Xenopus tropicalis: one gene and its partner. The protein of the gene in region 1 purifies or fractionates together with the protein of each later gene. This does not show direct contact. Links are inferred from orthologs where the notes say so. Each region holds a gene or a part of one and is shown on either strand. Other genes may lie near its edges.

The links.
Region 2: the proteins of micall2 (region 1) and rab8a purify together in Homo sapiens (co-immunoprecipitation; 3 studies listed by BioGRID and IntAct, with this or other methods). This does not show direct contact. The link is inferred for Xenopus tropicalis from reciprocal best matches to the Homo sapiens genes MICALL2 and RAB8A.

What each region holds. Positions count from the first base shown.
Region 1 is NC_030685.2:29,658,758-29,662,584, reverse strand, and holds part of micall2 (MICAL-like protein 2), read left to right. Parts: intron 1-2,469; 5' UTR 2,470-2,473; coding exon 2,474-2,616; intron 2,617-3,827. UniProt on the Homo sapiens protein: Effector of small Rab GTPases which is involved in junctional complexes assembly through the regulation of cell adhesion molecules transport to the plasma membrane and actin cytoskeleton reorganization.
Region 2 is NC_030677.2:104,435,911-104,439,737, forward strand, and holds part of rab8a (ras-related protein Rab-8A), read left to right. Parts: intron 1-63; coding exon 64-153; intron 154-1,390; coding exon 1,391-1,456; intron 1,457-3,343; coding exon 3,344-3,394; intron 3,395-3,827. UniProt on the Homo sapiens protein: The small GTPases Rab are key regulators of intracellular membrane trafficking, from the formation of transport vesicles to their fusion with membranes.

The DNA of each region.
Region 1 (3,827 bases):
TTCGTTGAATTGGGGACCACATCGGCTCATTGATGCGGTCCTCCCTCTAAATTTTCCTATCCCCTTCATTGCAATTGCAATGCATTAGCACAATATTGTCCACCTTAACATAAATGTGCGCCCAATTTGTAAAACCACACAACACCGATTACATTTATTTTAATGCATTGGTTGCTGGAGCAAATACTAAGGAATTATGGGGGGGGGGGGAATTCATTGTGGCTAAAACCATTTGCAGCACAAATGGGGCATGTTGTCTGTTTTGTAAGGAATAAGTTATGTTATTTAAAACGCACAGCGGTAGTGGAATCCATTATGGACCACAGTGGTGACAGTCAGTGGAAAGGTTGGCAGATATATAGCATTCACTATGGGACATGGCAAGAGAGTGAATTAGAATCCAGGGGCAGCTTATTTCATTTATGGTTCTGTTTGATACTTTATCCCTCTAGAACATCAATATGCACCTTTCTAACCATTTTATTTAAAACAGAAGTAAAATCACTTAACAGGGGCCAGTCTCCTAAGGCCTGAACTGATATTCAAAATAGGGCCGGGCATTTCAGGTACACAGTTCCCCACCAGCCCACATGCCATAGACATAGTGGTCTATGGCATCTTACAGCAGCCCCTCTGGCATTTGCTAGAACCCACAGATTGCCAGTCCAGGCTGACTCCAGCTATAACTACACCTGCTATAGATGGCTTCTCTATGTTGCCGTGCCTTCTCATACTGTGACTAGGCAGTGCTCCTGCTCTGTCTATCGAGCATTTCATCAGATTTCATTACATTCCCTGGTACGGGCTTAATCCATAAAGCAGGTGCACTGTAAAAGTGATTATAGCCCTAGCTGTTTTATTTGTCTTTCTGCCAGCAATTCTTTGTCAGTCTGCTTTTCAAATGCTATTAAATCATAGTATTATGTTTCATGGTAATCATTTTGCCATTGGTGAAACAGTGTTAAAATCCCAGTTGTAAAACATCAAAGCCGTATGAGTACTGATTTGAGGATGTGGTTTATTTTTTTGTTTTTGAAGTAACCACAGTGTCTGTCAGTGTATAAAGGAATGACCAAAGAGGGGGTTATTTATTATATTAGATAATACAATAATCAGAAATGAGGGGTTGTTTATGAAAACTTACACAATTCAGGTATGACAGGGGAGAGTTACTCACTTACTTTCATGCCTAGTGCTGCACTGCCATCTTTTCAGTAATTTGACGTCAAAAATGTTACCATTAGGCACTTGCACAAGTCTGGGAATTTGTAGCTGCAAGGCAGCCTTGGGAAATAAAGGAAAGATGGCAGAGCTAGGTAAGAAAGAGGCCGTGACTAGGGCAGTTTTTCTGAACCAGGGGGGTAAAACATTGATTGAGTACATGTGCCTAACCTATGGGCACCCCAGTGCATTACCCTTTCCTTGTTCTTTAAGACCTTAGATGGGTTAAACTTGGTGGGGTTTCTCCAATCCCTGTATTCCATGCGATCTTAACCCATTTGAAAAGTCAGATGACATCTTGGGAAAAAAAAACCTGAAATATTTGAATTTTTGAGAGTAGAAAAATGAAATATCCAAATCTCCAAACCAGAATATGCAACTTGAATTTTTAGAATATAATTAGCATATTATTCTTAAATCAAGGGGAATCTCCCTTTATCAAACACAAATCTCCAACCTTGACCTTTGACAAATCTGCCCATTAGGCTAATGCCACAAGGGGCTGATTTTTAGCCAGCATTTAAACACAGGGCCTGTGGTTGCCTAATCCTGTGACTGTACCTGGAGCCACTGCCTCAGGCTGGGTGATGGCACATGGAGCGAATTTCAGAACCAAAAGTATGCATTTTGGAACCAAAATGTGCTCTGTGTGCCTGCACCTAGGCTGATGCAGTGGCTCCAGATAAATGCAGGATGAAAACCAGCCATGTGTGGCATTTACCTTAGTCTAATAGCACAACGAGCGGTTTGAGAGACACATTTTTAAGTTGCCAAAGTGTCAGAATCTGCCTCCTGCTTGACTTTCATTGAAATCACCTTAAGAGCATGTGCCTGCCACTGTAGGGGGTACCATGTTTTGATGCCATGTTTTTTTGGCTGCCTATAACTGTGCTGCTTAATTCATCCCAAAGAGATACTGAGTTCCAGGATCCTTAATATGTGGGTGCAGAAGTAATGATACATAGGTATTTGACACTGTGTATGCCACATAGTTTTGGTTTACTCATTCATTTGTTAAATATTTTGAATTAGCACACAAGCTTTCAACTTTATGGACTATTGTCTTTTTTTCCAACCCAAATTAACACTGTGACTATGTATAGTGTCTCATTGTAAATAAGTGTACGAATTGTGACCTTTAATGACTTTGCATAGGCAAAACTGCAGTTATAGTGAACAAGTTTTTAGCTTTAGTAGTTACAACCTCAAACATTAATGTCAGCTGGCTTCTTGTTTCTTTCCTCCCAGCAGAATGGCGGCCATAAAAGCTCTCCAGCAGTGGTGCAAGCAGCAATGTGATGGCTATCGAGATGTCAGCATCACTAATATGACCACCTCGTTCCGTGATGGATTAGCATTTTGTGCCATATTACATAAGCACCGTCCAGATCTCATGTAAGGAACTCTCAGAGGCCCTCATTTCCTCTGGTTTCACTTTGTCTTCATGTTACTTGTTGTTTAATCCCTTATGCAATGCACCTTACCCATGTATGTAACAATAGTTTTCAACATTTTACTATTGGCTGCCTGACTAAAGTACATTGTTTTCTAACACATACATGCTTTTTTGCCTTCTCTTCTTGACCAGGGTGTCCTTATGGCACACATTACGTTTGTATGTTGCATCTGAAGATAAAGGTGATTTACCCCTTTAATAACCTTCTCAGCACAACTAATGTTACCTGATTCTGTGGGCAACTGCAAACAGAAAGCATTTTGTAACTGGGGCAATTTTTAGGTCTTTGGACAGGGAACAAAATGCTTATAATCCCTGCCACCCTCCCCTGTCGACTTGAAAGACAGTTGCCTCTGTGGGTGGGTGAACTTGCCTGTAAGGTGATTGTTGGTCAGGAAATGCTGAATGGTGTATTTTTTGAACGAGTGCCCCCTTGGCAGATGATTGCCATACAAATCAGTGAGTGGAGATTTTGAGCATTTTGTTCACTACCAATAGAGCTTCTGACAGCCAGAGCAACAAATTGTTTGATACTGATCTGTGTGCCAAATGCCTGTGTGTCCGGTACATAAAGATACATTATCATTTTTTTTCTATTGTTTTTTAATGAATCATATGTTGGAGAGTGCTAACAAGCTTTAACAACCAGTGAATAAAGGCAGCATTTCTTTTCCTACCCCCCACAATGGTCCCCTGTACAGTATGCAGAGAGAAAACAGACTGTCATTGAGTTGTTGGGATGAGTGGCCGCCCTGATTCATAGTTGGACAGCAGGGCCTGGTGGGTGGGTGGCAGATCATTAGGGTGTGTTCCTTAGGTTGTAACCTTAGATTTTTTGTATTAGGTCCTTTCATGTATTTTCATGTAATTTTTTCCACAAATTTAAGACAAGGCGCTGGTATTTCGAAATTCAAAATTCCCCTGATATTAAAGCTAAAACTATATGTGGGTGCACGCTCTAGGTAAATGAATACGTGTTTGAGCAATAATTTGTACAAAGAAAGCACATCTTGCTAGGGTTTACACTAGATTAACAAAGAATAGTTGTAGAATGAGACAGGAGGATTGTATGGACCTGCACACAAGAACTTACATTTTTAAAGGTCACCTATTCGAGTAGATGAGTGGGGAGAGGATAAGCTGTCCGTTC
Region 2 (3,827 bases), on another chromosome or scaffold:
CATACTATTCTGACTGACAAGTTCTCGATGCAAATATAAACCTTTACACTCTTTGCCTTCCAGCATGCATCCTCTGATGTTGAGAAAATGATCCTAGGAAACAAATGTGATGTGAATGAAAAGCGACAAGTTTCCAAAGAGAAGGGTGAAAAGGTAAGAGTTATTTAACAGTTTTGGTGTTCTGATATCTGAGCTTAAAACCCATTAAGCTGTGAATAGGTAAACGAGCTATGAGGTCCTGTTTGGGTACATTTAAAAATATATGAAAAATAAGTTTCCAAATGCTTTATAACAATAACCAATCTTTAGCCCTTTTAAGTAGAAGAAAACTCTGAGCATTACTCTGCCAGGGCATAAAAATAGTGCATATCCACTCGCCAATCATCCCCCCCCCAAAAAAATATATATATATTATATATATATATATATATATATATATATATATATATATATAATTTATTTATTTGGCTGGTGTCACATGTGCTTAATGTAAGTGCTCCTGTAGTCCAAATTAGACTTGACATATTAAAGGAAGAATGAAGAGAGGAATGATGTTGTCAGTGGGATATATGTGCAAGGATATTCAGGGCAGGGTCATGTTAATACATGTTAACAGTTTTGCATAAAATAAATATGGTGTTGGGCAATGGGAAAGGCTGAGCAATTGTTTCTCAGTTTCCTTGGACTTTAATTTAAGTATTAACCTCAGGAAAATAGAATCTGGTGCATTTTTTTGTTCATATAGTTTAGAATATTACCCAGTATGTAGTAAGGTGAATATTGAAAGAATGAGGCTAAAGGATAGAGACATAAGAATGTGGTGCATTTGTTTAAAATATTTAGAGAAAATATAGAAGCATATCCATTACCAATTTTTTTTTTTCTGCCTCAAATAACTTCAATAGCCAGCACAAAACAGCATGCACTCGTCGGACTCCAGGACAGCGGATAAAAATTCAAAAAAGCTTTATTAAGGATAAAAACCTAACGGTTAGGTTTTTATCCTTAATAAAGCTTTTTTGAAATTTTATCCGCTGTCCTGGAGTCCGATGAGTGCATGCTGTTTTGTGCTGGCTATTGAAGTTGAATCTCCCCATGCTGCGGGTCTGGGGCATGGCACCCGGGCCACCAAAAGGAAGTGGTGAGTGAGCATCCTGCATTTTGAACTTACATATGAGCATAAATTCCCCAGAACAAAGAGAGAAAAAAGTGATAAGCGAAAGGTTTGCGGCATAAGCACCCGAACCTACTAATTAACTGGGTGAGCGCGAGCGCTAATTGAAATATAAATCAGTTTTTTTTTATCTGTAGTGGGAAGGACTGTGAGCCCCCGAACAAGCAAATAGTACAGTGCCTCAAATAACTAGCAATATCACTGTTTGTATTTCAGCTGGCCCTTGAATATGGAATTAAGTTCATGGAGACAAGTGCAAAGGCAAATATCAATGTGGAAAATGTAAGTAGACTGAACGTGCTTAATTCAGTAAGCGGGGAGAGTAATGTTCATTGGTAGACACCCTTAAAGGAACAGTAACACCAAAAAAATTCAAGTGTATGTACTGCTGCTCTGCACTGGTACAACTGGTGAGTTTGCCTCAGAAACACTACTATGGTTTATATAAAGAATGCAGCTGTGTAGCCATGGGGGCAGCCATTCAAAGGAGAAAAGGCACAGGCACTTAGCAGATAACAGAAACACTATTGTATTCTACAGAGCTTATCCGTTATCTGCTATGTAACCTGTGCCTTTTCTCCTTTTTTCCAGCTTGAATGGCTGCCCCCATGGCTACACAGCAGCTTATTTATATAAACTATAGTAGAGTTACTGTAGCAAACACACAACTTTTACCAGTGCAGGGCAACAGTACATTATATTTCTTTTACTTTAAAACTCTTAAATTTTTTGGTGTTACTGTTCCCTTAACAATCAAAACAGGTTAAAGTGAAGAGTGGTCAGCAAACAATATAGTCATAGGTTTTCTATAGTCAAAAAGGCAGTGGGTGTTTTATAGAAGTCCGAGCATTTTTCTGCAACTTTCCATATTCTTTCGTATCGGCAAAAAAAAAAGAAAAATCTGTAGTGCTGTGTAGTGAGAAAAAACCACGCAACATGGTACTGTACCCTGTGCCTGATGGCTCTTCATTGATGCAATCATTACCCAGCACTATAGGACAACCAATGGGGCACCAGAAAACGCCGGGATATTTTTTGGGGTAGAATGTTAACTCCCAATATTTATAACAACCCTTCCATATGGCCTTTTTGTTGTCTGTTTTGCCTTTTTAACCCTTTGTGCAATGGACTTAGTAACAGTTCCACATGTCAAAATAGAGCCCTGAAACATAGAATCTATAGTGTTGGTATGATACTTTTATGCGGACACAATAGTAGTTCCAAAATGGAGGCCCAAAGCTGCATCTAAGTGGGTCCAGGTTATGGTAAGATTTGTGGAATACCTATGCAAGTGTATGTATGAATATGAGTTTAGGGGGCCGTAACCAGAAATAATAACCTATATGTGTCTGATCTTTGTGTGTTGTGATTTATGTATGTATTTATTCCTGGAGAATCTAAAATAAATTTTTGTATGTTTTTAAGAAACCTCCACTTTTACTTCATGTTTGGGGTCAGTGTTTTGCCAGTGTTTTCATCTTTCTATATAGAGATACAAAGGGGCACATTTACTAACCCACGAACGGGCCGAATGCGTCCGATTGCGTTTTTTCCGTAATGATCGGTATTTTGCAATTTTTCTGAAAATTGACGCAACTTTTTCATAGCCATTCCGAATGTTGCGCAAAATGTTGCGATTTTTTCGTAGCCTTACGACTTGCGCGAAAAGTCGCGACTTTTTCGCAGCTTTCGCGCCGAGTACGAAAGATTCAGATTCATTCAAGCTTCAGCATGGTGACTTTTCTTGGGCCAGGTTGGAGCTGCAGGGTGCCATTGAGTCCTATGGGAGGCTTCCAAAATCATGCTAAGTCTGAAAGTTTCGCCCGCCGCTTACGAGCGCTCAATACGAAAAAGTCGCGACAAGATACGAGCGAATCGTAATGGCTACGAAAAACTCTCGTTTTTTCGCGCAAGTCGTAATGGTTACGAAAAAGTTGCGACAATTTCCGAAAAGTCGTAAAGGCGACTAAAAAATCGCAAAAAATACGAAAAAGTCGCAAAATGTTCGTTTTCCAGTCGGAATTTTTCCAATTCGAATTCGTGTCTTAGTAAATCAGCCCCAAAGAGTGTTTATTGTTGTCTAGTACTTGTACTATATAGGCAAGAGATTAAAGGAATCACCCACTCATAGTATTGCTTTTGATATCAAGTTCTTCTATCTTTTCACAGGCATTTTTTACATTGGCAAGAGACATCAAAGCAAAAATGGATAAGAGGATGGTAAGTATAAGTATTTAATGGCTGCTTTGTGCTCCTGTGCCAGATATTGGTACTAAAAAGCAGGTATTTAACACTTAATTTCCCACACTGGTCTGGGTTTCATAGCTTGTTCTTCCCTTTATTCTAATGAGGGTTGGAGTAGAACTTCATAGACTGGTATGATCAAAGAGAGCAAGCATTTTGCCTCAACTTGCTATTGATTTAACAAGCTACTGCTTGTTGATACTATAGCTCCTTATTATAAAGGCTGTAATAGATGCTTGCTTCATGAGATTTGATTGCTTACTAATATGTATCACAGGTCCTCCATTTTGGGAGTTTGATTATCTAACATTCTAACACAACACTAAGGGCTGTGGCACACAGGGAGATTAGGTGCCCGAGACACATCTCGATTTTCGCCAGCGACTAATCTCCCCGAAATGCCATCCCA